Linked DNA regions of Saccharomyces cerevisiae S288C. The gene in region 1 interacts genetically with each later gene. Each region holds a gene or a part of one and is shown on either strand. Other genes may lie near its edges. The genes, in order: GEP3, INA17, ALT1 and ALD6.

What was found.
Region 2: mutations in GEP3 (region 1) and INA17 together harm fitness more than expected from each alone (negative genetic interaction), as found in Saccharomyces cerevisiae (2 studies listed by BioGRID).
Region 3: mutations in GEP3 (region 1) and ALT1 together harm fitness less than expected from each alone (positive genetic interaction), as found in Saccharomyces cerevisiae (2 studies listed by BioGRID).
Region 4: mutations in GEP3 (region 1) and ALD6 together harm fitness more than expected from each alone (negative genetic interaction), as found in Saccharomyces cerevisiae (2 studies listed by BioGRID).

Annotation. Positions count from the first base shown.
Region 1 is NC_001147.6:725,064-733,118, forward strand, and holds GEP3 (Gep3p), read right to left. Parts: upstream 2,172-8,055; coding exon 501-2,171; downstream 1-500. Other genes in the region: mRNA-binding ribosome synthesis protein NOC2, read left to right, coding at 2,449-4,581; DNA-directed RNA polymerase III core subunit RET1, read right to left, coding at 4,945-8,055. UniProt on the Saccharomyces cerevisiae protein: Interacts genetically with prohibitins and thus may be involved in the mitochondrial lipid metabolism.
Region 2 is NC_001148.4:363,020-370,148, reverse strand, and holds INA17 (Ina17p), read left to right. Parts: upstream 1-6,080; coding exon 6,081-6,629; downstream 6,630-7,129. Other genes in the region: Sec63 complex subunit SEC62, read left to right, coding at 1-310; EEB1 (medium-chain fatty acid ethyl ester synthase/esterase), read left to right, coding at 708-2,078; PNG1 (peptide-N4-(N-acetyl-beta-glucosaminyl)asparagine amidase), read right to left, coding at 2,131-3,222; ERI1 (Eri1p), read left to right, coding at 3,414-3,620; tyrosine--tRNA ligase MSY1, read right to left, coding at 3,719-5,197; MGR2 (Mgr2p), read left to right, coding at 5,422-5,763; ATG21 (Atg21p), read right to left, coding at 6,787-7,129. UniProt on the Saccharomyces cerevisiae protein: Component of the INA complex (INAC) that promotes the biogenesis of mitochondrial F(1)F(0)-ATP synthase. INAC facilitates the assembly of the peripheral stalk and promotes the assembly of the catalytic F(1)-domain with the membrane-embedded F(0)-domain.
Region 3 is NC_001144.5:315,066-323,499, forward strand, and holds ALT1 (alanine transaminase ALT1), read right to left. Parts: upstream 4,951-8,434; coding exon 3,172-4,950; downstream 1-3,171. Other genes in the region: CSF1 (Csf1p), read right to left, coding at 1-666; GPI-anchor transamidase subunit GAA1, read left to right, coding at 1,042-2,886; XDJ1 (Xdj1p), read left to right, coding at 5,636-7,015; GEP5 (Gep5p), read left to right, coding at 7,232-8,113. UniProt on the Saccharomyces cerevisiae protein: Alanine aminotransferase involved in both alanine biosynthesis and utilization. Under respiratory conditions, constitutes the sole pathway for alanine biosynthesis and catabolism.
Region 4 is NC_001148.4:429,789-437,719, reverse strand, and holds ALD6 (aldehyde dehydrogenase (NADP(+)) ALD6), read right to left. Parts: upstream 5,133-7,931; coding exon 3,630-5,132; downstream 1-3,629. Other genes in the region: MFM1 (Mfm1p), read right to left, coding at 1,956-3,197; YPL062W (uncharacterized protein), read right to left, coding at 5,421-5,825; protein translocase subunit TIM50, read right to left, coding at 6,351-7,781.

The DNA.
Region 1 (8,055 bases):
AGTGAAAAGATGAAGGAATTATTATCTACTTTTACTATATTTTCCACTATTTTTGCTTAATTGCTTTAACCGATCTATTCATTGGACTGATTATTTACATTATCTTTTATTTCCACTTCCACTTTTTCAGTTTTCTTCGAATAGAGACTTTATTTTGAACAGTTTTTTCGACCTTTTTTGTTTGTTATTGTTTCTTTTTACCTTACGAAAATATTCTTACTGTTCACAGTACCATTGTATAATAGTATTCATTTCCTTCCTACATTTTCTCTCCCTTTTTTGAGTTGAGGCCTTTTTATTGACTCGCCTTATACTCTACTTTATTTGTGTTTTGTAGATAGAATAAACATCAACAGTATAATTCATAATACTTTCTATTGCTTATTTCCTGTATATTCGTTTTTGAATATACTTTGTTCCCAACTTTCTTTTTAGTTTACTTACATTCATATTTACATGTGCGTTACTACTTATTGGTGCAACCAAGTGAACAGCGAGTCTTACCATTGGTAGTACCAATAGGGATTCTTTTTTTTTTCTAGGTGTTGAACCAAATCATAAGGATCATCGTCGACAAATCTTCTAGCAGATAAATCTTTCTCGGTTTTTTCTAAATACGACTTCTTCACTGCGTTCAAAGTATCAGCTTCATCCGGGGCCATCTCATACAGGGAACTGATGATCGGTCTATCTCTGGGACAGCTTGACTCTTTACCATTTGTTTCAATGTAACGCTGGTAGCCAGACTCAATCAAGTTTTCTAGCGGTTCCCTTATACCTACTTGGATACCCCTAGGTATCCATATCTCATGTAGTCCTTTGAACTCATACCTCCCAGTTGTCCTTAATAAAATATATCCTATATCTTTCAGAACGATCTCTATACTTCCAATAAATGGAGGTATTGCGTACCTTTTGTACTGGCTTTTTTCGCATATAACGCTTTTAATTCCACAATACCGTGATAACGGATGTGTGCCAGATGATGAATTGCACGAGTTGAATACATCAATACCTTTTTCAATGTTCTTGAATGTTTTTGATGGTCCTGGTATGTATTTCACAATCTGATTTATGGATCCTTTCGGAGGTACCAGGTAGAAAATCCCTCCCACGGTATAACAGCCTCCCTGTGATGTGCCCTTCATAGACTCATAAGTCTTCTGTTTTATATGCTTCCGATTGAATAAATCGGTTTTTCGCAGCCTTTGAAGCCAACGCTCGTCGATTAGTTCTTCTAGGCGTAATCTGGAGGTGGAAGTTGAATAGCCTGGAAGATCAAAAAGTATTTTACCTCCAACTTGGTAGGCTTGTACGGATCTAGTTAAATTGGGAATATGTGATACACCAGCAGCTTGAATCTTGAAAAAATTCTTCGGGTTCGTAAAAGCTTCTTGCATCACTTCTTCAGAGGGGGAGTTAATTTTCCCAGTAGAATCAATTTTAACCTTATATCCAAGATATTTCTGTAGTAGAGTATTGATCAAAGTTGATTTACCAACATTAGGGTTGCCTAGCAAATATGTGTAGTTTTTAAAGTAGTTGTAAAACATGGATATGTTCCAGTTTTTCAGCGCAGATATGGCGAATGTTTTATTTGAGTCAATTCTTAAAGTGTTCTTTAAAAATTGCTTCATGAATATAGGAACCTTTTTGCTGACAGCATTTTTATCTTTAAAAACTTGATCGCTTTTCGTTAACACTAATGTAGTATCTAAATCATTTCGTTTCAAAACATTGGGGTCTAAATGTAAGGGAAATTCTACAAAGGGGACAATATGCATAACATTTGAGCCTCTGGGGACGTAGTTCAGAATATCATTTAATGTGCTTTCGGGAAACTCTTCCGGGTTATAATTGTTATGATGAAGGGCATTACTGCACCTTTTGCAAATCACTCTCAATAGTAAATCTCTTTTGGTTTTGAGGTCAGGATCATTTTGAGTTGCCTGTTTCGAGAGCTGTATGTCTTGACTGAATAGCAAATACTTCAGATCTTGGAGGTCAGGATTTAGTTTTGAGTCGGGTAGACTTTTTGGCTTCGTATAATATCCTGGTTTACTAGGATCCTGATCCTGTAGTTTTATGGAACATGACGCACATTTCACTTTCACAATCACAGAACAGGAAAACTGACGTACGCCTCGAAGAGCATGACACAGATTCAACATTCCCGCATATTGAATTGTTCAAAGTAATTAGACGTGTTACTAGGAAGGTCCTTCGTTAATATTGCTCTGTTAAATGTATCTTGACCCATAACATCAAATAGTAGTTATCATCTTCGACGAGTTTTGAAAAATTTTCTGAATTTTTTCTTCCGATGAGATGAGCATGATATTTACAGAGAAAATAGAGAAACAGAATACTTGTACATGGGTAAATTCATTTATACTAATTTTTGAATTGTAAGAGAGATAGAGAAGGTCAACAATAGAATAAGTGGAGATGGGTAAAGTTTCTAAATCGACCAAGAAGTTTCAATCGAAGCATTTGAAGCATACTCTAGACCAAAGAAGAAAGGAAAAGATCCAAAAGAAGAGAATCCAAGGCCGTCGTGGCAACAAAACTGATCAGGAAAAGGCCGATGCTGCTGGTACTAGGGAACAACAGCAGTTGAAAAAATCTGCAAAGGAAGAGGTTTTTAAGGACATGTCTGTCGAAACTTTTTTTGAAAAGGGCATCGAAATTCCAAAAGAGAATAAAAAATTGAAGAAAAAAACTACGAAAGAGCAATCTGATGAAGATTCCTCCTCTTCCGAAGAGGAGGAAGACATGGGACAAAGCATGGCAAAGTTGGCCGAAAAGGATCCCGAATTTTATAAGTATTTGGAGGAAAATGATAAAGATTTATTGGACTTCGCAGGTACCAATCCATTGGATGGAATTGATAGTCAAGATGAAGGTGAAGATGCTGAAAGAAACAGTAATATTGAAGAAAAATCTGAACAAATGGAGCTGGAAAAGGAAAAAATTGAGCTTTCTTTGAAATTGGTTAGGAAATGGAAAAAACAACTTCATGATTCTCCAAGCTTAAAATTACTAAGGAACATAATCAGTGCTTTCAAGGTTGCTGTAAATTTGAACAAGGAAGAAAACATCGAAGACTATAAATATGCTATCACTGATGAGAAAGCATTCCACGAATTGATGTTCATGGTCTTGAAAGATGTACCACAAGCGATTCAAAAGATGGCCCCATACAAGATTGTAAAAGGCGCAAGGACCTTACCAAATGGAGGTAACGTCTCCAGGGTCTCGTCCATTGTCAAGTCGCATGCTGGCTCTTTGTTGATTTTATTGAATGATATTACTAATACGGAAACAGCAGCATTAGTTCTTCATTCTGTCAACGAATTGATGCCTTATCTTTTATCATACAGAAGGATCTTAAAGGAGCTTATTAAATCAATTGTTGGAGTATGGTCTACAACGAGAGAATTAGAAACCCAGATTGCTTCTTTTGCCTTTTTGATCAATACCACCAAAGAGTTCAAGAAGTCTATGCTAGAAACAACCTTAAAAACAACGTACTCCACTTTTATCAAAAGTTGTCGTAAAACGAATATGCGTTCTATGCCACTGATTAATTTTCAAAAAAATTCGGCAGCTGAATTGTTCGGTATCGATGAAGTTCTAGGTTACCAAGTTGGATTTGAGTATATTAGGCAATTGGCAATTCATTTAAGAAATACAATGAACGCGACAACTAAAAAATCCAGTAAAATTAATTCCGCAGAAGCTTACAAGATTGTATACAACTGGCAATTCTGTCACTCCTTGGATTTCTGGTCTCGTGTACTATCGTTTGCTTGTCAACCAGAAAAGGAAAATGGCAGTGAATCTCCTTTACGACAATTAATTTACCCATTGGTTCAGGTTACTTTGGGTGTAATCAGATTAATCCCAACACCACAATTCTTCCCATTAAGATTTTATTTGATTAAATCACTTATTAGACTTTCTCAAAATAGTGGTGTTTTTATTCCAATATATCCTTTACTTTCTGAAATTTTAACCTCAACGGCTTTCACTAAGGCACCCAAAAAGAGCCCTAACTTGGCTGCTTTCGATTTTGAGCACAACATCAAATGTACGCAAGCTTATCTGAATACAAAAATATACCAAGAGGGTTTGTCAGAACAGTTTGTGGACTTATTGGGCGATTATTTTGCTCTGTACTGTAAAAACATTGCATTTCCTGAACTTGTAACACCGGTTATTATCTCTTTACGCCGTTACATCAAGACTTCAACTAATGTCAAACTTAACAAACGTTTATCAACTGTTGTAGAAAAATTGAACCAAAACAGCACATTCATCCAAGAAAAGAGATCAGATGTTGAATTTGGGCCAACAAACAAATCTGAAGTTTCAAGATTTTTGAATGATGTAGCTTGGAATAAAACACCTTTAGGTTCTTATGTTGCAGTACAACGTGAAGTTAAGGAAGAAAAGGCCAGATTAATGAGAGAAAGTATGGAAGAACAAGACAAAGAAAGAGAAACAGAAGAAGCAAAATTATTAAACAGTCTGGAAAGTGATGATGACAACGAAGATGTTGAAATGTCAGACGCTTAACAACTCAGCAAGATTTGATTTTTTGTCTTGAATTCAATAGTTAAGTCTATAAATGTGTAAAATAAAGAAAAGTCTTTTTTAAAGCGTATATATCATTGTGCTCACATGTGCTAACATGTGAGCACTCCAAGCTTTCTCTTGTCAGCTGGATATTTTTATATTTTGGCCGGTTTATGGATAGAAAACACGTCAAACGTTCGATGGATCTTATAAAAAGTAATGATGTAAAGCAAGGTACAAAAATGAAAGAAGTACGGTTTACTGTTATATAATTTTCGAAATCGTTCAACTCTCTTAAAGTTCCTCACGAAATAGATATGATTGCTAACATAACGCAAAATTTAGTACAAGATATATGATTTCTTACTGCTGGAAGATATCTTCCAATCTTAATCTTGGGGCTATGTTCATGGATAATAATTCCTGGAATAACAGTTTTGCTGCATATGGAATAGTCATCTTAATAATATTCTCAGCACTTTTGCAGGTAGTACACCAACCACTATAGCCCATTAATCCACATTTATCGCAGACATCAACTTCAAAAGCATCTGAACTAATCATCAACCTTTCTAACAGCAATTGTGAAGCACCATACGCGATTACACAATCCCTCTCCATCTCACCCAACCTCAGACCACCATCTCTAGATCTACCCTCAGTTGGTTGACGTGTCAAAACAGCCCTTGGACCACGAGCTCTTGCATGCATCTTATCTAAGACCATATGCTTTAACTTTTGATAGTAAATGGGGCCAAAAAAGATGTAAGCCTGTAAACACTCACCTGTTATACCTGAATATAACATATCCTTACCGGAATAGTTGAAACCTTGGTCTACCAAAATCTTAGACATATCTTCAAGTTTAGAACCACCAAAACAAGTACCATATTCCAATGTACCATTCAATACACCAGCTTTACCCGATATCAGTTCGATCATTTTACCCACAGTCATACGAGATGGAAAACCGTGAGGGTTCATGATAATGTCTGGAACTATACCTTGATCGTTGAAGGGCATGTCTTCTTGCTTTACAATAATACCACAAACACCTTTTTGACCATGTCTAGAAGAAAATTTGTCACCTAATTCTGGCCTTCTGTTTTGTCTTAGCAAAACTTTGATTAAAGCTTGATCGTTATCCGAAACAGACATCATAACTTGGTCAATGTGAGAAGGTTCTGGACCTCTATATATTACCGGAGCTTCCCTATATTGAGTTTGGACGTTTACGTTGTTTGGGTTTGGGGCGTCTGCTGAGTTAGTTGGAACTGACTTATTTATATAAATTTGTCCACTTTGGACCTTCATACCCACCTCACCTAGACCATCAGGACCAAGAGATTGATGTTGCCAGATAGGATCTCCATTTTCATCAACTCTCATACCACCGATGATATCTTGGGTATGGTTCGCATATCTTTTCAAAACAGTGGTTGTCTTTCTACGTGTTTCGCAACGGCCGAAACCTCTATCGATGGATGACTTATTCAAAACCAAAGCATCTTCAATATCATAACCAGAATAGGACATGACAGCAACCGTAGCATTTTGACCAGCAGGTAATTTATCATAATCGATCAATTCAATTGTTTTGGTTTTCACCATTGGCTGTTGTGGATAAGTCATCAAGTATAATAATGTATCTATTCTCTTGAATTGATTGTAGGCGATTGCACCAATCGCTTGCTTACCCATCGCACATTGATATGTGTTACGAGGGGATTGGTTATGATGTGGATATGGAATTAAACCAGCAACAGCACCTAAAATTGTGAATGGCTCGATTTCTAAATGTGTCATCGAGGGAACTATATCTTTTTCATACAATGCAATGTAAGAATCGTTTTCTTCATTGACATCTAAATATTCCACCAATCCGAGTTTCAAAAAATCATCGAAATCTAACTCACCATCTAATAATTTGCGTAAATGAATATCTTTCACGCGAGATTGACCATCAGAAACAATGATTAATGGCCTACAAATTCTACCACCATCTGTTGCAATATGAACTGCCATTTGGTGAGAATTTGAATAAATTGAGATAAACTCCGACACTTTACCTGTTCTTCTCAGATGTCTGAACTGAGTAACGAATTTTGTTGGGAATCTGATTGAACCAATTAAAGTACCATTCAAATAAACACCATAGTTTAAATGCAAGGATGCACTGTCAATCAATGTTATGTCTTCTACACCAAGAACATAACATAATTTCTTTATAGGTTCCTCTTCGTCATCTGTAGTAATATGAGTCATTAATGCTAAATTTTTCACTAGACCACACGCCTCACCTTCTGGAGTATCTGCAGTACAAAGCATACCAAATTGAGAAGGTTGTAATGCTCTTGGACCGGAAACTTTTCTTGATTTTTCAAACTGAGAAGAAATTCTTGTCATCATACCCAATGCGGAAATATAAGATAGTCTGGAAAGAACATGTGTAACACCCGCTCTTTCCATCTTAAATCTTTTAAGAGACCAATTACCGGTTGAGATAGCTCTGTTCAGTCCGCTGGTGATGTTATTTGAATGGACGTTAATTGACAATAATGCATCGTATTCCATAGCCCTATTTGGTTTTTTCAAGACCTTATCAATGCTTAGTTTAAAATCATTATTAAACTTTTTGAACAAATCTTCGAACAATAAAGAAATCAATTGGCCTGCTAATTCAAGACGTTTATTACCAACATAATCTCTATCATCAATCATCTTAGGGTTATACATTGCCATCACCACCCTGCGCGTCATCATGGCAATATATAAAGCCTTTTCTCTAAAGTCAAGGGCTTCCACAGTCAAATGTGCAATAACCGTGGTAGCAATGGCCTCTATACCCTCTTGCAGGATAGTCAGTTTTTGCCTTCTCATTGTCTTTACTTTTGCACCAATATACTCTAAAGCTTGCTGTTGTGTGTAAATATCTAATTTCGAAGATTCTTCCAAATTGACTGCAAAAATATCTTGGTAGCTACTATCATTACCGCAAACCAATTGCATAATTTCTAAATCTGATAAAATACCACAGGCTTTGAGAACAATAGCAATAGGAATTTCTTCAGCGATGGAATTGTGCTTCAAATAGATCTTGCCATTTTTGGTAATGACATAAGTCTTAGATTTTCTTTCATGGGTAGATGAAGTAACGGAGGCCTGAACAATGCCTTTCTTCTCATCTGCCTCCACAATAATACGATTCTTGGATAATTGTTCTTGAACAAGAATTACTTTTTCGGTACCGTTAACAATAAAGTAACCACCAGGATCCAACGGACACTCGTTTAATTTAGCCATTTTCGATTCATCAGCATCATATAGGATACATTTATTAGATCTCAGCATGATCGGCATCCTACCAATTTCCACGTCTTTATGCATAATAATGTTTCTACCTCTAGTGTATTCTATATCCACGTAGATTGGTGCAGAGTATGTCATATCTCTAAGCCTACACTCATGAGGCGG
Region 2 (7,129 bases), on another chromosome or scaffold:
CATGAGACGCGGCTCCTATTATGTGTCTCTGGGTGCCTTCGGCATCTTAGCAGGCTTCTTTGCTGTCGCTATCCTGAGATTGATATTATATGTTTTGTCATTAATTGTCTACAAAGATGTTGGTGGGTTCTGGATCTTTCCCAACCTGTTCGAAGATTGCGGTGTACTAGAGAGTTTTAAGCCACTTTACGGTTTTGGTGAGAAGGATACTTATAGTTACAAAAAGAAACTGAAAAGAATGAAGAAGAAACAAGCCAAGAGAGAAAGCAATAAGAAGAAAGCCATCAATGAAAAAGCCGAACAAAACTGAACTTCCATTATCCTGTATAGCTCTACTGTATAAACCTTCTATATTGTAACCTCATGAACTCGCACATGTACAAACCTTCAAGAGAACCGGCACCAAAGCGCTACCATCTGGTTGCTTCATCGCTTATAGTGAGTAGTTTTAGATTTGAAGGTTATCGCTCCTGGCAAAAATCTGAATCCACACACCGCATAATTAGCGGTTATTATTACTCAATTTCCGGCCGGCTTTAATATACTTTCACCGAAAGGTCTCTATATAGAAGCTATTTGCTGACACTTGCTTACAGGAATCGATTATATAAGAAGGGTTCTGCATCTGGTTGCCTACTTAGTTTTCGGTATTTTTGAAGATTAGCAAAAAGATCAAGATATCAAGTATTTTCATATTTGTCATTTTAATGTTTCGCTCGGGTTACTATCCAACTGTCACTCCTAGCCATTGGGGCTATAACGGCACCGTCAAACATGTACTGGGAGAGAAAGGAACCAAGTCTTTGGCTTTCAGAGATTCTAAGCGCCAAATTCCTCTTCATGAATTCGTAACCAAACACGTGCCTACACTCAAAGATGGTGCAAATTTTAGGTTAAACAGCTTGCTTTTCACAGGTTACTTACAGACCCTTTATTTGTCAGCCGGTGATTTTTCCAAAAAATTTCAGGTATTTTATGGAAGAGAGATTATAAAATTTTCTGATGGAGGGGTCTGCACTGCAGATTGGGTTATGCCTGAATGGGAGCAAACATATTCATTAAATGCTGAAAAGGCTAGTTTTAACGAGAAACAATTTTCGAACGATGAAAAGGCCACCCATCCAAAGGGTTGGCCTCGTCTTCACCCGAGAACTAGATATCTATCCTCTGAGGAACTTGAAAAATGTCATTCTAAGGGTTATTCTTACCCTTTAGTGGTAGTACTTCATGGTCTTGCAGGGGGAAGCCATGAGCCTCTCATCAGGGCATTATCTGAAGATCTATCAAAAGTCGGTGACGGTAAATTCCAAGTGGTAGTCCTTAATGCTAGAGGTTGCTCAAGATCTAAAGTCACCACCCGTAGAATCTTTACCGCATTACACACAGGTGATGTGAGAGAATTTTTGAACCACCAAAAAGCTCTATTTCCGCAAAGAAAAATATATGCAGTCGGAACATCATTTGGAGCAGCCATGCTAACGAACTACTTAGGTGAAGAAGGAGATAACTGTCCATTAAATGCTGCAGTCGCTCTCTCAAACCCATGGGATTTCGTACACACTTGGGACAAGTTGGCTCATGATTGGTGGTCCAACCATATTTTTTCTAGAACTTTAACACAATTTCTAACAAGGACTGTCAAGGTTAATATGAATGAGTTGCAGGTACCAGAGAATTTTGAGGTTTCGCACAAACCGACAGTTGAGAAACCAGTCTTTTATACGTATACCAGAGAAAATTTGGAAAAGGCTGAAAAATTTACAGACATATTAGAATTCGATAATCTTTTCACTGCCCCATCGATGGGCCTGCCGGACGGGTTAACATATTATAGAAAGGCCAGTTCGATAAATAGATTGCCTAATATCAAAATCCCAACTTTAATAATCAACGCAACGGATGATCCAGTTACAGGTGAAAACGTAATTCCGTACAAACAAGCTAGAGAAAATCCTTGTGTGTTGTTATGCGAGACTGACTTGGGTGGACATTTGGCTTATCTCGACAATGAAAGTAATTCCTGGTTAACAAAGCAAGCTGCCGAGTTCTTGGGCAGCTTTGATGAGTTAGTTTTATAAATATGTTCTTAGATAAAATTCCTTACACATAATAATCTGTTCTTTTATTTCTCTATTTACCATCCTCCCCACGCTGTGCTTTCCAATCCGCCGATCCACTTTCTCTACCACGATTAGATGATTTCGAAGCGGCACTGACGCTTTCGGATTTCGTTTCTTGTGTCTTTCCTCTAATCAGCTCTATCTGTTCCTGCTCATCGCGACATGCAAGTTGGTATATCTCGTCATCATTTAACGAATACCTCAACCTCTTCGTTATAAATTGACAAAGGAATTTTAAATCTTCTTCCTTGATTTGATCTCTGGGCAGCTCGTTTTGGAGGATATAGCGTTTACTAACGTCAACAACGCCATCTTTACCGAACGCAATACAGTAACTCATTTTCTTGTTCCAGTTAATTGAATAGATATATGGTTGGTCGAATGATTGCTCACAGGAGTCGACATGAACCCACCTATTCAAAAAATTTGAAAAATATTCACACCAAACATGATCTTCTCTATTCCAGACGTAGCGAACATCTAACCCAAACGACTTCAAAATCAAAGTAAATAAATTGCACCATTCACCGCATCTTCCCTTTCTAGTTTCCAGCAACTTAATTGGATCGTTATAACGAGGAAATCTAGTGATATTTCCGCATCGGTTGCATTTATAGATCTCAACAGTTCCGCAATTGAATTTAGATTCCTCTCCATTGGGCCCTTGACTGCCCAGAGGTGTCATATTTTCTGAAGTGTTCTGGCCACAATGATTACAATCTGGTTTATTGCACCATTTGAAAAAATCTTGTTTGAAGTAGCGAAGCAGCTCCTTTACTAGATAATCCGTGTATATATTTTCCCCCTCTGCATGCCCATCTTTGGCAAATTCCTTATCAACATTTTTATATATTAGATCCAGATCCAATGTCTCCAGGACTATAGAATGCCATGAAGGATTGTCATAGACTGTACAGAGATGTTGACTCTGACCTAGGACTCCTTGTGCGAATTGATTTGTATGGACTAAATTCTGAAACCTTATATTCTCTACAGGTGCAGCTTTCTTGAATTTAGACAGTATGAAATCCTTATACTTAATTAACAACATTTTGGCTATTGAATCAAAATCTATGTTATTTTTTTCGTATACCTCTCCCATTGCTACTCCACCTGTTACCTTCTTCAGGTTGTTTTACGTCTTCTATATCTGTTCCCAACGCATCCTTTTTTCTTCGCTACAATACAAGGAAGATTACACTACGCAAAGTTTCGAAAACATCAAGAAGCATAGAACAGTTGAAACTAGGCAACAGGACTGTTTCAATTACATGATTGAGAATTTATAAGCGCATGAGACCACGTGACCAAGGCTTTTTGGTTTTAGGGTTTACTTACTCGGTACTCCTAATTAGTCTTGCTACATTTTACTGGTTACGCAACAATGACTCTTTCCTGCACTACTGGTGTGTATTACTGCTATGCCCTGCGACTCTCTGGCTGTGGGCCCTCATAGCCTGGTGTGACAGTGAAATGTTCGCAAGTAGTAAAGATGAATAATCGTTTATAATCTTATTTACAAGTCAGTGCATAAAATGATATAATATCACCTCACGCATGCCTATTTTATACATGTACTTTATATACCTCCCTTTTTTTTAACGCATTTCTATTATAAAACACTTCTGCTTTCCTATCCTCAAGATCAGTACTCGATCATCTATCAGGAAAGGAGCCAAGTTAGAAATATTTTCGTTTACTTTAGATTTTGAATGATGCAGATACACGCTTCCCTGGGAAAGTTTTCTTCTGGCTTCTGATACTGAACAATTTACTAGTTTACAAATTAACTTTATTAAGTCAATCTCTCTATCAGCATACTGCAAAATTCTGGCTTTTTTACATAGATCAACTAACTTCGCAGCAGATAAAGTTCCGTCATAACGTCCAAAAATAATATTAGAAAGCGCTTCTGAATCCGATCCGGAGCCAACTCCATATAACATATCTGTGACTTCTTTAGCCAATAAAGTTTGGCCATAACGTAGACTGGGTGATTTGATATGCGTTTCCACAATTTTTTTGATTTCACTTGAGTTTAAAAACGTAAAGATCTTCAAGAACTTGGGTACATCAGCATCCAAAGTATTATAAAAGAACTGGTAAACATCATACGCCGTATTGATTGAGGGGTCAATAAAAACAGCATTGCCTGCACTTTTCCCAAATTTCTCTCCTGTAGCCGTCGTCAACAAGGGCACAGTGATACCAAATGGCAAACCCTTATTCTTTATAGGCTGTATCCTATTGATGAGATCGATACCGGCTGTTATATTTCCCCATTGGTCGTTACCACCTACTTGTATAGTCACATTCTCTTCCTTATACAAATGGTAAAAATCGTACGCTTGTAAAACTTGGTAAGTAAATTCGTTAAATCCCAGACCATTTTTGGTTTGAAGCCTCGAAGAAATTGAATCCCTCGCCAACATAGATTGTACCCGAATGTGCCTACCAAAATCAGCTAAGAAATCCAACATTTTGATGTCTTTCCACCAGTTGAAATTATTCCTTGGTGTATATTTTCCGGAAGGTACATCTTCAGTGAGAGCACATCGGTTTCTGTAATATTCTAGGCCATTTTTGAAAAACCTTTGTAATTGCTGCGAGATGGATGCCACATTGCTTTGCCTAATATCGTTCTCCATAACGTCTCTTTCTGTTTTCCTACCACTTGGGTCCCCAACTTTCCCTGTAGCTCCACCTATCACAGTGACAATGTCGTGACCTTTTACGTAAAAGTGTAATAAAACCATTAGTGGAACTAGATTTCCCAAATGAAGTGACTGAGCTGTGGGATCCACCCCGCAGTATAATTTGATCTTATCGTTACCGTTCAACTTCGTCCGAAGGAAACTCTCTGGCTGTGAGACCTGGGACACTAGACCCCTTTGTTTGAGTTCGTCTAAAATATTATCGCTTCGAGAATCCGATGTGCCCTGTACTTCTAAAGCACTAGGCTGTGAATAAAATCGAGATTTAGGCAATGTTATTGCACTTAGTCCGGAATAAGTCACCAGAGGCACAAGTCTCCTACTACTATTGACCAAATTACTACAACTTCGTAATTCGAGCATGATTCACAATGTCTACCTGTAGATTGCTGTGTTCAATCGGAAACTGGAAATTCTTTCTTAACATTATGAGCCAACCACTTTTTATTTTCTTTTCAAAACTCCCGAACAAGACCAACATTACCAAACAGACTCCACTACTTTTCCATAAGAAGGAAGCACAGAACACCACACAAGATCATATAGCACAAATAGCGCAACAGCTTCAAGTCCAATATTAAGATATAATGCCTCCTCTTCCACAAAATTATGCGCAACAGCAGCCTTCGAATTGGGACAAATTCAAAATGGGGTTGATGATGGGTACTACCGTCGGTGTCTGCACAGGCATCCTATTTGGTGGATTTGCCATCGCAACTCAAGGCCCAGGTCCTGATGGTGTAGTTAGAACACTAGGGAAATACATTGCTGGTTCAGCGGGTACCTTTGGGCTATTTATGTCCATCGGGTCTATAATCAGAAGTGATAGTGAAAGTAGTCCAATGTCCCATCCTAACCTGAACCTACAGCAACAGGCAAGACTGGAAATGTGGAAGCTTCGTGCCAAATACGGTATACGTAAGGACTGAGGGGGAAATTTTGCATATATTTACGCTTCCCCATCGTTTTCTTAAACATTGTTACTTATCTGCTTATTTTTATTTAAGATATCTATCTACCTGTTTATAACTCTCTCAATACCATGTATTTAAGTTCATCACGACGAGGCTTATTTACTTAATATATTTGTATACGTGGGAAATGTCTAATATGTATACCGGTTTGCATCTTATTTTGGGTGGGGTCACTAACGGCAAGACTCATAAAATAAAGTATTCGCTAAGCACTCTGTTATATTTGTAAACTTTGAGAAAGGAAATGGGAACCAAAGCATATAATAGACAATATGTTAAAAAGACGCTCTAATGCTCTCATTACTTTGAGTAGAACTAAATTGTTTCCCATAACAACCGTTGCCTATTACCACAGGCGCCTCCTCAACCAACAACGAAGAGCTGTTTCAACGTCACCGAAGAAAGAAATCAAGAGCCTAGAAGACTTGGCTAATTTGGATTCTTTGGATGGTGTTGATACTGAACTGATACGCGATTTGATTAATGAGCATACTACAAAATTAAATATCAAAAAGGAGTTAGATATGCTCAAAAAATTCTCGCAAGAGGAAGAATCAGGACATGAGATCCCTGTAAAAAGATTTATTAGGCCTCTTTGGATGTTCATTCTAATGGGATCTTCCGTTTATTTACTGCTTCACTTCTCTTGGTGGAAACTAGAGCATGAGGAGAGAGAAAGTCAGCTAAAGAAAGAGGTAGAAATCCTGGAACACCAATTAAATGAGTTAATTGTACAGGATAAAACCCACAATACTAGTAGGGGAAAGGGCAGTAATGAATCAACACATATGAAGCCTTGGTATAGGAGATGGTTTTGGTGAGAATTAGTTATCTTGTTGGCTTTTCGTGTTTCTAGAATGTACCATTGCCTATGTAAATATTTTCAAATTGCTTGTTTTGAAGATTTCTACCCTCTTTAGCAATTCACACGTGAATACGTACAATATCTATTAAGATTATGAAAACTGCACATATGCATTATGTAAATTTATTATTTTTAGTCAGCACACATTCACCAGGTTTTGACGGAATACTATATATACTGAAGGTTCCATCATCAGAGGCAATATAGACTTGGTTGGGAAATTCGTCTGGAAACCCTAAGCAACTCCTGTTCGATTCATTAACTGTTATATAAGCAAAGTTACGGCTCAGGTTCTGGTTTGGTATTGAAGATTTTATTTTTTTCGAGAAGTAATTCGCAATTCTTGGTTTCGAGAGAGGTATTTCCTTTGGAGTTCCCATACTGGGATTTGAATTTGATGCTAGTATATATTCCTCTTCATTCCAGTGGCCATTGCTAGAATTATCTCCAGGGAGG
Region 3 (8,434 bases), on another chromosome or scaffold:
CATCAGTAGCTTTGGATGTTTGCCGATATCTGTTTCTTGGTAGTCCCTGTCATTAACAATTGATGCATCAGAGTTCGTTGTGTATGCAGATTCGCTTAGATCTTCATCTAATTTATCAGCACTACTTCCATCGCTAAAAGGTTCAGGAAAAGAATGCTCATTAAGGTATTTTTCAAATTTATCGCGTTCATCTTTTGATAGTAAGTTTATAACATTATCGTACGCCACTGTTCTGTTGTAAATAAAAATTTCTAGACCTTCACATTCTACGGAAATTTTACAGGGAAGCTTTGCTTTTTTGCCAGAAGAAGACTTGTTATTCTCTATCAATTCTGCTTTTCTGCAATTTAAAAGCCAGTATTTCCATGTTAAACTACCCTCTAATACCGAAATTGTATAATCTTTGTGTATTACGGAAAGGTTTTTAAAATGTATTCGACCACCTAGTAAGGAGACACGAAGTGTCTCAACATTTATCTTGATTTTCGCTCGTTTCCATAGTAGCCATTCTAATATAAAACTTACAAGGTATGCATAGATTCTTCCCATGTAGAATATCATTGTCAAACATACTACTACCGTGAGAATCCAATCTACTAAAAAGACCCAGCTAAAGTCCTTTTGGTGTGTCAATGGAACACCACGTAATTGTGAAATAGCTTCCATGCTTGCTAACTTATTACCGTCAATAGAAGACTTGAGTCAGGTGGCTTTAATGAGTACTATTCTTTTTTTTTTTCCAAAGAGCACTATGTTGATAATACCGCAGTAATTTTTTTTGAGTATCCTGTAGCCTAGAAAGGTTGAAGCTTATAAAACCGTGCCAACAGCTTTATAGTGGGGAGTTTGGCTTCCCTCTATTTGTATATTGATCGCCATCCCTACGAAGTTATTGGGAACGCATCGTGAACCTCTCACTTTAATGCCAGCGGTAGAAAAAAAAGTCATAAACAATACACGCCGGCTACACTTAGAAAGAAATGACATTTGCTGTCTTATAAAAGGACTTGACAGACCAAAGACGCGTATAATACACCAAGAATGGCCTTATTGGAGAAGTTGCATCGAAGGATTGTTGATATGGGGCTTGTCCCGCGTATAATCGCCTTATTACCAGTTATTTCCATGCTATGCGCTCTATTTGGGTTTATTTCTATAGCTATTCTGCCTATGGATGGACAGTACAGAAGAACATACATTTCTGAGAATGCATTGATGCCTTCACAAGCGTATAGTTACTTTAGAGAATCTGAATGGAACATTTTGAGGGGCTATCGATCTCAAATTAAAGAAATGGTAAACATGACTTCTATGGAAAGAAACAATTTGATGGGTTCTTGGTTACAAGAATTTGGTACTAAGACTGCTATTTACGAAAATGAACAATATGGAGAAACATTGTACGGTGTAATGCACGCTCCTAGGGGTGATGGAACAGAAGCGATGGTGCTTGCCGTTCCATGGTTTAATTCAGATGATGAATTCAATATTGGCGGCGCAGCTTTGGGTGTATCTTTAGCAAGATTTTTCTCACGTTGGCCAGTATGGTCCAAGAATATAATTGTTGTCTTCAGCGAAAATCCTCGTGCAGCATTAAGATCATGGGTTGAGGCATACCATACTTCCTTAGATTTGACTGGTGGTTCCATTGAAGCTGCTGTTGTGTTGGATTATTCGAGTACGGAAGATTTCTTCGAGTATGTAGAAATCTCATACGACGGTCTGAATGGTGAGCTGCCCAATTTGGATCTTGTCAACATCGCTATATCCATTACGGAACATGAAGGTATGAAAGTTTCTTTGCACGGTCTACCCAGTGATCAGTTAACTAATAATAATTTCTGGTCAAGATTAAAAATATTATGCCTGGGAATAAGGGATTGGGCGTTGTCCGGTGTTAAAAAGCCCCATGGTAACGAGGCATTTAGCGGCTGGAGGATTCAATCTGTAACATTGAAAGCACATGGAAACAGTGGTCATGATATTACTACATTTGGACGTATACCCGAAGCAATGTTTCGCTCTATTAATAACCTTTTGGAAAAATTTCACCAATCGTTCTTCTTTTATTTGTTATTAGCACCACGTCAGTTCGTATCCATTAGTAGTTATTTGCCAAGCGCTGTGGCTTTATCTATAGCATTCGCCATAAGTTCATTAAATGCATTTATAAACAATGCTTATGCAAATATATCCTTATTTTCCGAGTATAATTTGGTAGCGTTGTTGGTTTGGTTCGTGTCATTGGTGATATCATTTGTTGTTTCACAAGCGTTTCTTCTAATACCTTCATCGGGATTATTGATGACAATTAGCATGGCATCTTGTTTTTTACCTTTGATACTTTCCAGAAAAATTCACATCTCAGAACCACTATCATACAGGTTGAAAAATGTTGCTTTTTTATATTTCAGTTTGGTTTCAACATCTTTGCTAATGATAAACTTTGCAATGGCTTTACTGATCGGCACATTGGCATTTCCTATGACATTTGTGAAGACCATTGTTGAAAGTTCTAGCGAACATGAGGTGACAACTCAATCCTCTAACCCAATAAAAACTGAGCCGAAAGATGAGATAGAGCTCGTCGAGAATCACATGGATACAACGCCAGCAACCCCCCAACAACAGAAACAAAAACTAAAAAATTTAGTACTATTAATTTTGACAAATCCATTTATTTCAATAACCTTATTCGGACTATTTTTTGATGATGAATTTCATGGATTTGATATAATAAACAAACTGGTTTCAGCATGGTTGGATTTGAAATGTTGGAGTTGGTTTGTACTTTGTATAGGTTGGCTTCCATGTTGGCTATTGATATTAGCGTCATCGTTTGAATCTAAATCTGTCGTAGTAAGGTCGAAAGAAAAGCAAAGTTAGGTGCCATTGGTAAGAAGTAAAGGATTAACGGGTGTTCGAACTACGCAATTGATTTTATACGCACAAACATTACAAATCGAAGCAAAAGAAGATGAAATGATATGATATACTGATACAAATATGTATTAAATAAAACATAAGTATTGATGGAAACATGGCATAGAGAAGCGAAGATGCGATAATATCAAATAACTATATGTGAGTTGTGGAAGAAAGAAACGATCACATTATTATAATAAACTAGCTATTTAAATGTTTATTGAAGACTGTTCTGCCCCCTTTTATTCAGTCACGGTATTGGTCAAAAAATTCTTTATGGAAACTTTCCCATTTCTTAATCCATTCCAGACCAGGTGCCAAAAATGTTGTTCTTAAATGGTAAGTACCAGGTTCTTGACCAAACCCAGAACCGGGAACAGTGCAAATGCCAGTAGATTCTAACAACTTCTTACAATAAAATTCATCCGGAGTTAACTCTAAGTGGCGAGCTTCTTGAACTGCCTTGAAAGGTAAGTCTATCTTAGGGAATAAATACATGGCACCTTGAGGCTTTTGACATTCAATGCCTTCTAAAGAGTTAAATGTCTCATACAGTGTCATTGCTCTTGTAATTAACTTTTCATGGATGGAGTTACGTTCTGCTTGGTCCGACTCGAATGATTCCTCCCCTTCCACTGGTGGACGAACCATCAAATCAACCAAAGCTTGACCTGTGACAACGGGACACAATGAAATCGAGGCTAGTTTCAAGATAACTTGTCTCATCTCATGGCTGAATCCAGTGAGTTCCATGTAGCCACCCCTTTGACCACATTCACCAGAAACACCCTTAGAAGTCGAATGCAAAGAAGCTAGCTGAACATTATCGAATTTACCTGGATGTTCCCTCTGTAAATGTCTCAAAATTTTCTTCATAGAATGGAACTTGGTGCCCGGGAAGATATTTTCTTGATAAACTTCGTCAGCTATCACTACTGTACCGTACTTGGCTGCGACTTCAAAAATCTGAGCTATAGACTCAGGTGATAGGACAGCTCCTGTAGGATTACCTGGATTGATAACCACTAGAACTGTAGGTTTGATTTCGTTCTGTATAGCCTCTTTGACGACAGTTTCAATTTCTTCTGGATTAGTTGACCAACCTGAATTCTCATCTAAATAGTATGGTAAAGCTTGAGAATTGTTCAAAGCTAGAGTAGCGGTATATAATGGATATTGAGGAATTGGAATCAAGACACCCGTTTCTGGCCCTCTACAGAAAATTGATAACAAGTAATTGACAGCTGCGGATGCACCAGCAGTTAGGAAAATATCCTCTGGGTATGATATCTCGCCTTCGTCCCTCTTCGTTATAAATTCAGCGACACTTTTCCTTATACCTTCTACACCTTGAGAAGAAGAGTAAGCACCAACAGAACCACCGATATCTTCCATTAAACTCTTTGCACGTTTAATGGCATCTAGTTTAAACAATTTCGAATCAACTAGCTGCTGTTCGTTTTGGTTTAATAGTTCTGGGTATTGTAAGAGAGACAAGACCTGTCTGTAGTAAGTCAGAGGTTTCTGTTGTAGTTGCTGAGGATTACCAATATTGGCGTTGATAATCCTGTCAAATGGCAGAGATTGAGGATCCTTCTCCAGTTGAGCTTTCAATTCTTCAGCTCTCATTGGGATGGCACCTCTAACGGCGTACTTAGCCTTCAAGACATTTTCATTTACGTCTTCCAAAGTCAATTGTTCGGCGGGATAAAACTCGTTATTCGAAGTTTTCAACGTGTGGTGTGGAAAGCGATTCAAATGACGCAGGTCGTTTAGCGAAGATTGACCAGATAATGAACGTCTATGATTTTGAGCAACAATCCAGGAAGAGCTATGTCTCTGTAGGACGGGTCTAACTTTCCTGAAAGCTTTTAACTTTGTACTACTGGCTGAGGTAGAAAAAGGAGTAGTGATATGTGGCATTTTTTCTGCGCTTGAAGTGAGAGTCCTTATATGATATGACTTAATAACGTGAGTTATAGAATTACTCACTGTGAAGTGATTTTTGGCAGACAGTGATAACATCGTGGAGAGAGCAAAATAAAGACTGGGGAAATATATTTATATGCGTTCAATTGAGAAGCAGAAACAATTAAATGCGGGGGAGAAACAAAGAAGCTGGTCCTGTTCTCGAGCAACGTGTGACTAGTATGAACAACTAGAGTAAAATAGCGAGAAAGCAGTAGTAGTAACGGAAGAGCTTTTCCTAGTATGGTCCGCGGGTCACGATCGTTTACAAAGGGCGCAGCAAACTCTAAATACGTCAACCACAGCAGGTCAGAAGAGTACGTGAAGTTGTCTCAACGAAAGGTCGAAAATCGTTAGGCTTGGACCCCTTCAGAATGAAAAAAAAAAAAGACGCAAGAGTGAAAAAAAAACCAGTACTGTAAAAGCAGAAAACGTCTAATGGGAAGTGCTACTATGTAAGATTATATCATGAATGTGCTGTGTATTATATATGGATTATATAGCCACGAATATGCGGTAAATAAACATATGCATATATGTGTGTGGGGCAGCGCTCTGCTGTGCAATCCTTGTTTCTTTGTTTCTTGGGTCGGGATTTGAGTAGCGACGAGCCATCCTCTGCAGAAGGGAAGAAGAAAGAAAGGCAGAGAGGCAAAGAAAGAGTCAGGCTTATCTTATCTTAAGAGATATGCCGCTTGGACCCAAAAGAAAGGGAAAAGTAAGTACGCAGGTGTAGTTTTGAATGAGTGGCAGTGATAGAGGAGACCGGTTATACGATGTGTTGGGGGTGACGAGAGATGCGACCGTGCAAGAGATTAAAACTGCTTACAGAAAGCTTGCCCTGAAACATCATCCGGACAAGTATGTGGATCAAGACTCAAAGGAGGTAAATGAAATCAAATTCAAAGAGATCACTGCCGCTTACGAGATCTTGAGCGATCCGGAGAAGAAATCACATTACGACTTGTATGGTGATGATAATGGTGCCGCTAGCAGCGGTGGCGCTAATGGCTTTGGAGATGAAGATTTTATGAACTTCTTTAACAATTTCTTCAATAATGGAAGTCACGATGGAAATAATTTCCCTGGCGAGTATGATGCGTACGAAGAGGGCAACTCTACAAGCTCTAAGGATATCGATATCGATATATCTCTTACTTTGAAGGATTTGTACATGGGCAAGAAGCTGAAGTTTGATTTAAAGAGACAGGTCATCTGTATAAAGTGCCACGGTTCTGGCTGGAAACCAAAGAGGAAAATTCACGTTACACACGATGTGGAATGTGAATCATGCGCTGGAAAGGGTTCAAAGGAACGTCTGAAGAGGTTTGGTCCCGGTTTGGTAGCTTCGCAATGGGTGGTCTGTGAGAAATGTAATGGTAAGGGGAAGTACACTAAAAGACCCAAGAATCCAAAGAACTTTTGCCCCGATTGCGCAGGCTTGGGGCTCCTGTCAAAGAAGGAAATCATCACAGTGAACGTGGCTCCGGGACACCACTTTAACGACGTAATTACAGTCAAGGGGATGGCGGACGAGGAAATCGATAAGACCACATGTGGTGATTTAAAGTTCCATCTCACTGAAAAACAAGAAAACTTGGAGCAGAAGCAAATCTTTTTGAAGAACTTTGACGACGGCGCCGGGGAAGATTTGTATACAAGCATTACCATATCGTTAAGCGAGGCCTTGACGGGATTTGAGAAATTTTTGACAAAAACCTTCGACGACAGGTTACTAACATTGAGCGTTAAACCTGGCAGAGTAGTAAGACCTGGTGACACCATCAAAATCGCCAATGAAGGTTGGCCCATTTTAGATAACCCTCATGGCCGGTGCGGCGATCTGTATGTTTTCGTTCATATTGAATTTCCACCAGATAACTGGTTCAATGAAAAATCAGAACTACTAGCAATAAAAACGAATCTGCCGTCATCTTCATCTTGTGCCTCACATGCGACTGTAAATACTGAAGATGACAGCAACCTGACTAACAACGAAACTATATCAAATTTCCGGATCATTCACACGGACGATCTTCCAGAAGGGATAAGGCCGTTCAAGCCAGAAGCACAGGATTCAGCGCATCAGAAAGCAAGAAGTTCGTACTGCTGTATCCAATGATGGCATCAATAACTTTTTATTCTATTTTTTTTTTTTTTTCATAAGTTATCCTACCTGTATATATGTATATATATGAAATTCATTTACTGAATGCGGTGAAGAATGAAGTCTTTCGCACCTTCAGTAGAAAAATAGGAAGAATCCCCATCGCGGCGGACATAAAGCAAGCATACAAAGGCCTTCTATCAGAACAGCGATTGCGAACTTGGAGCAACAATGGCGTCCCAGGTTAACGCCTTATTACTGCCGGTCATAGAGTCTACGCCGCTTCATCAAATAACCAAGGTAGCATTGACGACCACACTCACAAGTAAACAAAGCGATTACAAGTTCAAAGAAATAGCCGTGCCGTTAACAAAATCACTACAACTGTACGAGAAGGCGCAAAGAAGACAAGATTTAAGGGCAAGCTTAAAAGCACTGGAGAGTATCATTTACCAAACGCACTTCCAATGGAATAACCCGCTCCCACGACATGCGCATCTCTTCCAAAAACACTACCACTTTCTACTGACTCACTGGCCATTTGAGAACCACAGAGACTTGGTAGATTCCATCGCTGTAAACAATGGGAAACTAAATTCAACGTCTTCAAGGAGCGTCTGGCTGAAGGCGGATTGGATAACACTGTTTAACGTTAAAAACCCTTGGGTCCAAACGCCGCCATCGTTAATGCGTCTGAGTGGGACAGATCTTGATACCTTCACACCAGAGAGGATATTCCTGATAAATTCTCTTGGAAACCACTACAAATTTTTAATAGCGAACAGTCATCTAAGCTACAATCACAAAAAATACCCCTCCCCTGGCGTGCAAATTCCTGTCAGGAACGCTCTTGGCGAAGTTTCTCCGGCCAAACAAATTGCCCAACTTTTCGCAAGACAGCTGTCTCATATTTACAAGAGCCTCTTCATAGAAAACCCCCCGCTCTCTCCTGAGAACGAGCTGGCATTGACTGCCGTCTTCTATGACGAGACTGTAGAGCGACGCCTTAGAAGGCTCTATATGCGAGCTTGTGCAAGGGCATATACGACTACTAATGCCGACTCCACCACGGAGCCTTTGATGTTTCATTGCACCCGGTGGGAAGTTGATTAGTTGTTGTTGGCTGTTATACTGGAGTAAATGTCACGTGCCACTGTGGCCGTGTCAGGTCACGTGAAGAGAGAAATTCGGCCACAGTTGTGGTCCTAAACAAGGACTGAAAAAGATCGCAGAAACTAGCAACGTCGGATAGCGGTATGGTTGAACCAAAGTCCAGTTTTTAGTCATAGCCGGTTGAGGGATGATCTGCCGTTCAGTGTTCTGCGTTCAATAATACGCATATATATATATATCAAGGTATCAACACAATACTTGAACAGGTTAGGCTCGTACTAAAGCCTGGAAGTTTTTATCTTTCTGTAACATTTTTCTTTC
Region 4 (7,931 bases), on another chromosome or scaffold:
AGCACAAACAGATGTGTATCATCAACAGAAGCAGAGCTTCATGCCATTTATGAAGGCTATGCAGACTCAGAAACGTTGAAGGTAACATTAAAGGAGCTAGGAGAAGGAGACAATAATGACATTGTCATGATCACTGACTCAAAGCCAGCCATTCAAGGATTAAATCGCAGCTATCAACAACCAAAAGAGAAATTCACTTGGATAAAAACTGAAATAATAAAAGAAAAAATTAAAGAGAAGAGTATAAAACTGTTAAAAATTACCGGCAAAGGTAATATTGCTGATTTACTAACAAAACCAGTATCAGCATCTGATTTTAAAAGATTTATACAAGTATTAAAAAATAAAATAACATCACAGGATATTTTGGCCTCAACAGACTATTGATAATTAATTAATGAAGTTCTAAACACACAATGAATATCTGTTGAAGTACAATAATATATCTTTAAGGGAGCATGTTGGAACGAGAGTAATTAATAGTGACATGAGTTGCTATGGTAACAATCTAATGCTTACATCGTATATTAATGTACAACTCGTATACGTTTAAGTGTGATTGCGCCTATTGCAGAAGGAATGTTAAACGAGAAGCTCAGACAATACTGAAGCTGTGTTAAAGACCTATTAGTTGAACATGATATGGTAGGTACATATATGAGGAATATGAGTCGTCACATCAATGTATAGTAACTACCGGAACCACTATTATATTGGTCATGATTAATATGACCAATCGGCGTGTGTTTTATATACCTCTCTTATTTAGTATAAGAAGATCAGTACTCACTTCTTCATTAATACTAATTTTTTACCTCTAATTATCAACATTGATAATAAATTTGCTCATGTCATGGCCCACAAGTTTTTATCCCACAATGAAACATTTTATTATAGCTAAATACGTCATTCTAAACTTAAGAAACCATCTCTATGTGTGAAACGCATGAATTATATAAAATAACTACTGAAATATCTTTGTTACTGATGAGAAATAGATGAATCGTAGATAACTGTGAGGATTCCGTTGTTGTTAAAGACTATAATATCAGGTATACAGAAAATGTTAGAAGTTCTCTTCGAGAATATAGAAATCGACAAAAGGGGTCGGCAGTTTTACATAAATAATTTATGGAATAAATTCAACTATCGTCTATCAACTAGTAGTCATACTACCAGTATATTATCACATACAGTGTAAGAAGATAACATAAGGGATGAGAAACTGTCATCGAAGTTCGAGTAAGTTGAAATTCAACGATTAATGCAACGATTGATAATATAGCAGGATAATGAAACATATAAAACGGAAGGAGGAATAATAGTAATATTATTTGTAGAAAAATCGATTCCCCTTTGAAAATTTCTATATCCTCGAGGAGAACTTCTAGTATATTCTATATACCTAATATTATTGCCTTTATCAACAATTAAATCTCAACAATTATCTCAAAATTCATCAATTTCTCAATGATATCATTTTTTCTTCCTTCTTTTTATACTTTGTGATTCATTATCCTATTATATAATCAATCCTTTCATTTCACTTTCATTAAACTTGATGACTGTTTCTCAATCCTTATCTCATCTTCTTACACCGTATATGATAATATACTGCTAATATTTCTAGTAGTCAGCATGATATTTGATTTTCACCAATCAACCACAAGTCCTGACAGGAAGTTATTATTTAACCACATTACTGTTGCGTGGATAAGTGTTATTATTCTATTGCCTTAAAACTATACAACAAAAGCTCGTATGGCGCAGTGGTAGCGCAGCAGATTGCAAATCTGTTGGTCCTTAGTTCGATCCTGAGTGCGAGCTTTCTTTTTTTCCAAAGAATTTTAATTATATACGTTCGCCTGTACGGCTTTTTATATACTTAAAAAAGTGAAAGTTGTTCTTATTCATTTGAATGCGTATTAAAAAGATTGATTGACTCTTCGTGATAACTATTTCTTCAACAGTTCGTGAACGGAATCTGTTTTTATTTTACTCAATAATGTCATACGTTGTAATTTATGCAAATGTCTGATTCCCTTCGCATAGAGCCAAACAGTAGATATTAACCCCAAAATGGTGACAGTTAAATACGCATAATTACTTTCTTCTATGAAACTTTCCAGATTCATACCATAGATAGAACCCAGGAATAGAGCGCCTCCCAACGAAAGCATTCCTATGGCGTATCTTATCCCTAACAGCATTAATTCGTTTCTGTTAGAATCTAGGATTATATTGATGATTTCTTCTGTGGTTTTCACGTCAGATATGGCGCTTTCGCTTTTCTGAACTATTTCATCGACATAGTTATGATATGTTTCCAGAAGCATTTCAATTTCAGTATGATCATCTTGAACTCTAATTTTTCCAGCCTTTTTGTCGGTTAAGTACATATCACAAAGCATATCGTCTTGCTCTAGCAAGTCATCCAGCATATCTTTAACTAGAACAGCCTTTTTATTGAAGCTGCTCAATTTTTTGTTTTGACCCAGTAAGAACCTTAATTTATCTCTTGTTATACTAAATTCTAGATCTTGAAGCACCCCCTTGCATATGGTTAGCAACACCTTCATTTCACTGGTAAGGTTAGATAATGCCGAAATGAAGATCGTTTCTAAAGCTCTGAATTCATAAGGAAGTGGATCGCTATTTAGCTCGCTTGTTTCTTGATTTTTTAGTCTCAATTTCATATCGTTAATAAAATCCTTGTGAGCTTCTGAGTTTAAAGTTATTCCACTGCCGGCTGAATCGAAGATAATAACCATATCAGGCTTAATTAGGGCTTTCACAGTAAGTAAACTGATTAGTATGGAATTTTCTCGCACGAGCAAACTAGGGACTAAGTCATTCTTCCTTGATTTTTCAATTTTACGTAGATCTCTGGGCAACAAGCCATGTTTTGATACTAGATCCTCACGTTTTATCTCTACTAATGGTGATTTGGCTCGTCCAGTTGAGTCTAGCAAAGTACATCGTATTGTCCCTGATCCATACCCATAGAGCATGTTGTTTCTTTGGATCAAGTTTTTCTGTAGTAGCATTGCAGCGGTATTGTCAGGGTCCACCTTAGGCATTTGCCTAGAGAAATCAAAAGAAGAAAGTGATGAACCAAAAAGCCTTACTGTTCGAAGAAGGATGTTATTATATGATCTCTGATGGCGAAATGGCAGTACTCGGGGGAATGCTCTCATGTGTACCTTTTGATTGGAATTGGTTCGCAGTGTTTATGTTATATTAGCTCAATGTGCTCCCTGTATTTTATATATGAAACAAGTCTTTGTATTGCTATTTTTTTCAAACCTTTTTCTCAACTCTAAAAGCGGTCCACGTTAGTTTTCTTTGGATATAGCAGTTGTTGTACACTAGCTTAAGATGTAAAATTCAATTCAATATGATTTTGTGTGGGATGTTTTAAAGAAGGCACAAGCCTGTTCTCTCTTTTTCTCTTTTTTCATGGATTGTATCGCTTAAAAGGGAGAAATGAAGTAAACGATTCTTTTTGTAAAAATATAAAACCAAATTTTTTAATTTATATGTATACATATTTATTTATGACGTAAGACCAAGTAAGTTTATATGAAAGTATTTTGTGTATATGACGGAAAGAAATGCAGGTTGGTACATTACAACTTAATTCTGACAGCTTTTACTTCAGTGTATGCATGGTAGACTTCTTCACCCATTTCTCTACCGTAACCAGATTGCTTAACACCACCGAATGGAACTCTGGAGTCAAAATCGTTGTATGTGTTGATCCAGACGGTACCGGCCTTCAACATCTTGGCCACCTTCAAACCTGTGCTCAAAGATTCTGTTTCGATACCAGAACCTAGACCGAATTCAGAGCTGTTAGCCATTTCGACACCTTCTTCTAAAGTCTTGAACTTTGCGACAGTGACAACTGGTCCAAAAATTTCTTCCTTAACAATTCTCATGTCTTCATTAACATCGTAGAAAACGGTTGGTCTGATGAAGTAACCCTTGTCACCAACTTTTTCGCCACCAGTTAAGATCTTGGCGCCTTCTTTCTTACCGATATCGATGTAGTTCATAATTGTGTCGAATTGTTGACGGTTAGTGATAGCACCTTGGAAGTTAGCCTTGTCAAATGGATTACCAACTTTGATTTCGGTTTCCAAGTAAGCCTTGAAAGCAGCCAATAGTTCGTCGTAAATACCTTCTTGAACGTAAATTCTAGAACCAGAGGAACAAATTTGACCAGCGTTCTTGAAAATACCGTTTACTAGATTTGGTAAAGTCTTCTTAATGTTAGCATCGTCAAAGACCAAATGGGCGGACTTACCACCTAGTTCCAAAGTGATTTTCTTCAAGTTAGATTCAGAAGAGTCGACAGCAACACTCTTACCGACTTCTGTAGAACCGGTAAAAGCCAGCTTTCTGATTCTTGGGTCGTTGGTCAAAGCAGCACCAACAGTTCTACCAGGACCTGGAACGATGTTGACGACACCAGCTGGAATACCAACCTTCTTACATAAAGAAGCAAAGTATAGGGCATTTAAAGGTGTGACAGCAGCGGGTTTCAAGATACAGACGTTACCCATGGCCAATGCTGGGGCGATCTTCCAAGCCAACATCATTATTGGAAAGTTCCATGGAATAATTTGACCACAGACACCGATTGGCTCTAAGGTGGTGAAGTTCATGTAGCCGTCACCGGTGTTGATTGTTCTACCGTTGACTTTGTCGGCATAGGCAGCAGCATCTCTTAGACAGTTGATTGCAATGGTAACATCCCCACGGGCTAAGGCCAAAGTTTTACCATTGTCCAAAGCTTCAATGGAAGAAACCAAGTCAATTTGGCTTTCCAATTCGTCAGCCAACTTACTTAGTAGACGGCCTCTTTCTCTTGGGTCTTGGGTAGCCCATTCAGTGTCGTGGAAAGCACGGTCGGCACATTCGATAGCATATTCAACATCTTCAGTGGTGGCAGAAGAGACCTCACAAACGGTGTTTTCAGTGGAAGGATCTTCGACGGGATAGGTCTTACCGTCTTGAGCTTTCATAAACTTGTTGTTAATGAATAGACCGGTTGGTTGCTCGTATGTCAAACCATTTGGAAGTGTGATCTTGACTGGTTCAGCAGTGTCAAAGTGTAGCTTAGTCATTGTATTCTGATAGTATGTGTTTGTGTATGTTAAAGATGTTTCTTGATGTTTTTTCTTCTATAAAACAAGAGAAGTAAAAGACTGAACACTTCGAATTGAATATTACCAAACTTCTTATTACATTTATATATGATATCAAGAACTTGTTAAACACGCCAGGCTTGACCTCGAACGGTGTTTTGATGTGTTACTCAACCGTTAAATCGCTGTTTGAGCTGACTAACAAGGTTGCTTGTCTTGAATCCCCCTCACCCCGAATTTATTACGAATTTGCCCACATGGTCGGTGCTATATCGCATTCGTTGCACTCACCGTTCCCAAGAGGAGATCAATGTTACATACGTTCCCGATGCCCAAAACGGTAAAGTTAAAGCGATATAGAAGCTGGATGCATATCTTTTTACACGTCCGCGGCGCGCCCACCCTCTTTTTTCTTTCTGGTTCCTTTTCGGTCGTTTTTCTTTTGTCGGCTGCCTTATTCCCGTGGGGATGAGGCGAGCGCCGTTTCGGCTTGGATACGCCATATGCAACAATGACGTCTCGGTGCTGGCCATGCCCCTCATTTATGTCGAAAAACAGGCCACTGCCCCTCTTTTCTGCGGCCCGGGCAAGAGGAGACCTCATCAGCCACGGCGACGTGCTGGTTGCTTCTACAATGGTATCTTCACCTTTTACATAATCCAATTCTATCATGCCCTTACGTGAGGGGCAGTGTCGTATGTGACGGCAGTTCCTGACCTGATAGTGTGTCTATTTGTCTGTTAGCGTCCGCGGAAAGTTGTGAGTACGGTTTTTAGTTTAGTTTCCACCCGGGATTATACTTTTGGCTACCCTGACTGGAAGGCGGCGGCCTTATATTCGAATGAACATGCCAGGCATTGTACGAATTGAAACTTTTTTCGTATGACGTTACGAATAATTCCATTCGGCCTAAATATTCTTTTTTTTTGGATTTTTATGCTAGTGAAGGAATATGAGATATGCAAAGCGCATCAGATCATTAGGTGTGTCTACATCGTTAAAATTTAACATAGAAAAAATAAATAGGCGTGTTTGTACGTAGTATGGTGATGTTAGGAGGTGCAGTGGTAGTAAGTTAGCAATATACATAAGTTTTATTCACATGACAGTAACAAAATGAGGGTGTGGGGAGTGTACAGGTACATTTACATACACACATAGATACGTAGATACATGAGAAGAGGGTTTACATGAAAATTATTTGGATTCAGCAATCTTCTTCTTTTTCTTTTCCTCTTCAAATAAGGCGTCTACCTCCTTCTGCTTCTCCAATTGTATTTTCATTTGTTCTTCTGGCGAAGGCAAGTTACCTTCAACATAGTCTTTCAGCGTAAATGTTTGCCCGCCCATTTGCTCCTGCTGTATTCTAATTTTTTCCTTTTCTTCCTCAATCATCTTCATGAACATTAAATAGTTCTTTTGTCCTTCTTCATGAATCAAATCGAGCGGGAACTTGGTGCTGCCGCCCAGGGAATTTCCGAGACCTAGTGCCGTCATTGCCCAGTTGCCACCAGATTTATGATCTCCGTAAAATTTATCCTTCAATTTTTTCACACGATGATCAAATTCTTCTGCTAGGTTCTTCTTGTCTTCAAAGCTGTTCAAGATTGGTCTAACATCCTTGGTTTGTTGAGTGGCAAGGTACTCCAAAAATGGAATCAATCTTACTAATTTGTCATCAGCTTCACCATTCCATGGCTCCATTGGAATAGCATTTTCAGGTTGCAATTTGTAACTGTTAGGGTCAGTGTCAATAATGATTACTTTACTCAAATCTCTATTCAATTTTGACAGATCCTTAATGTGCACACCGTCTTTGTAAACACAGTGTTCCTTGAACAAATTATAAGATACGAATGCATGGATTGGATCTAATTTTTCAGCGATTTTGTCAGAGTACATCATATAGTTGGATGAAAACAAAACAATTTCGTAATACTGCGATAGGTAACCCAAGAAGTAGTCAGCACCAGGTCTTTTGGCCGTTCTCCAACCATGCTTTTGAGACCACTCAGAATGAACCAAAAAATCTTCCAATGTGATAACAAGAGTTAATGGCCTTTGGTACGGTGGTGGTGGTGGTGGAGGTAGTAAATCAGGGAAAGGTGGCTCTTGGAAGTAGGTGAACATTGAGTTGAACCTGGCCTTGAATCTTTTATACATAAGTGATAAAGTGTAGCCATTATCGATGTCTTTCTTCAATTCTTCAGACTCTTGAGGCTCCCAATCCCTTGCCATGTAGATTGCAGTACCTGTCAACGCAGACAACGAAAAAATGTAAAACCAGTTAGCATACTTTTCTCTTTTAATATCTGTAGAAGTTTGTCTTTTTCTTCTAGATTTTTCACTTTTGGAAGAAGGTTCATTCTTGTCCTCTCCTCCTTCTCCTGATGTTTCCTCGTTTTTGCCTTGGCCCTTCTCATCGACGTCAACACCGGCCTTGAACAGCATATCATCTGTAAGAATGGATTTAGGCTTGTCGTCTTTTGTTTCTTTTTGTAAAAAACTTGAATAACTTGTTAAAAGTCTTCTGGATGCTTGAACCGATGTTAAGGTGTTGGCGGCAGATGGCACAACCCTAAGAGCCCTTGAATTTAGTCTCACCGAATTTCTTAAAATGGACAGCATTGCAAGCGGGTGATTTTTGGAAGTTTATTCTAGCTGTGATGTGCTAAAGCAAAAAATCAGTTATGCGCCAAAAGCTAATCACGAAATTGAGTGGATGCTAGAAATTACCGTTCCGATTAATCCTGACGTTATGTTCGTTTGCTGAATATA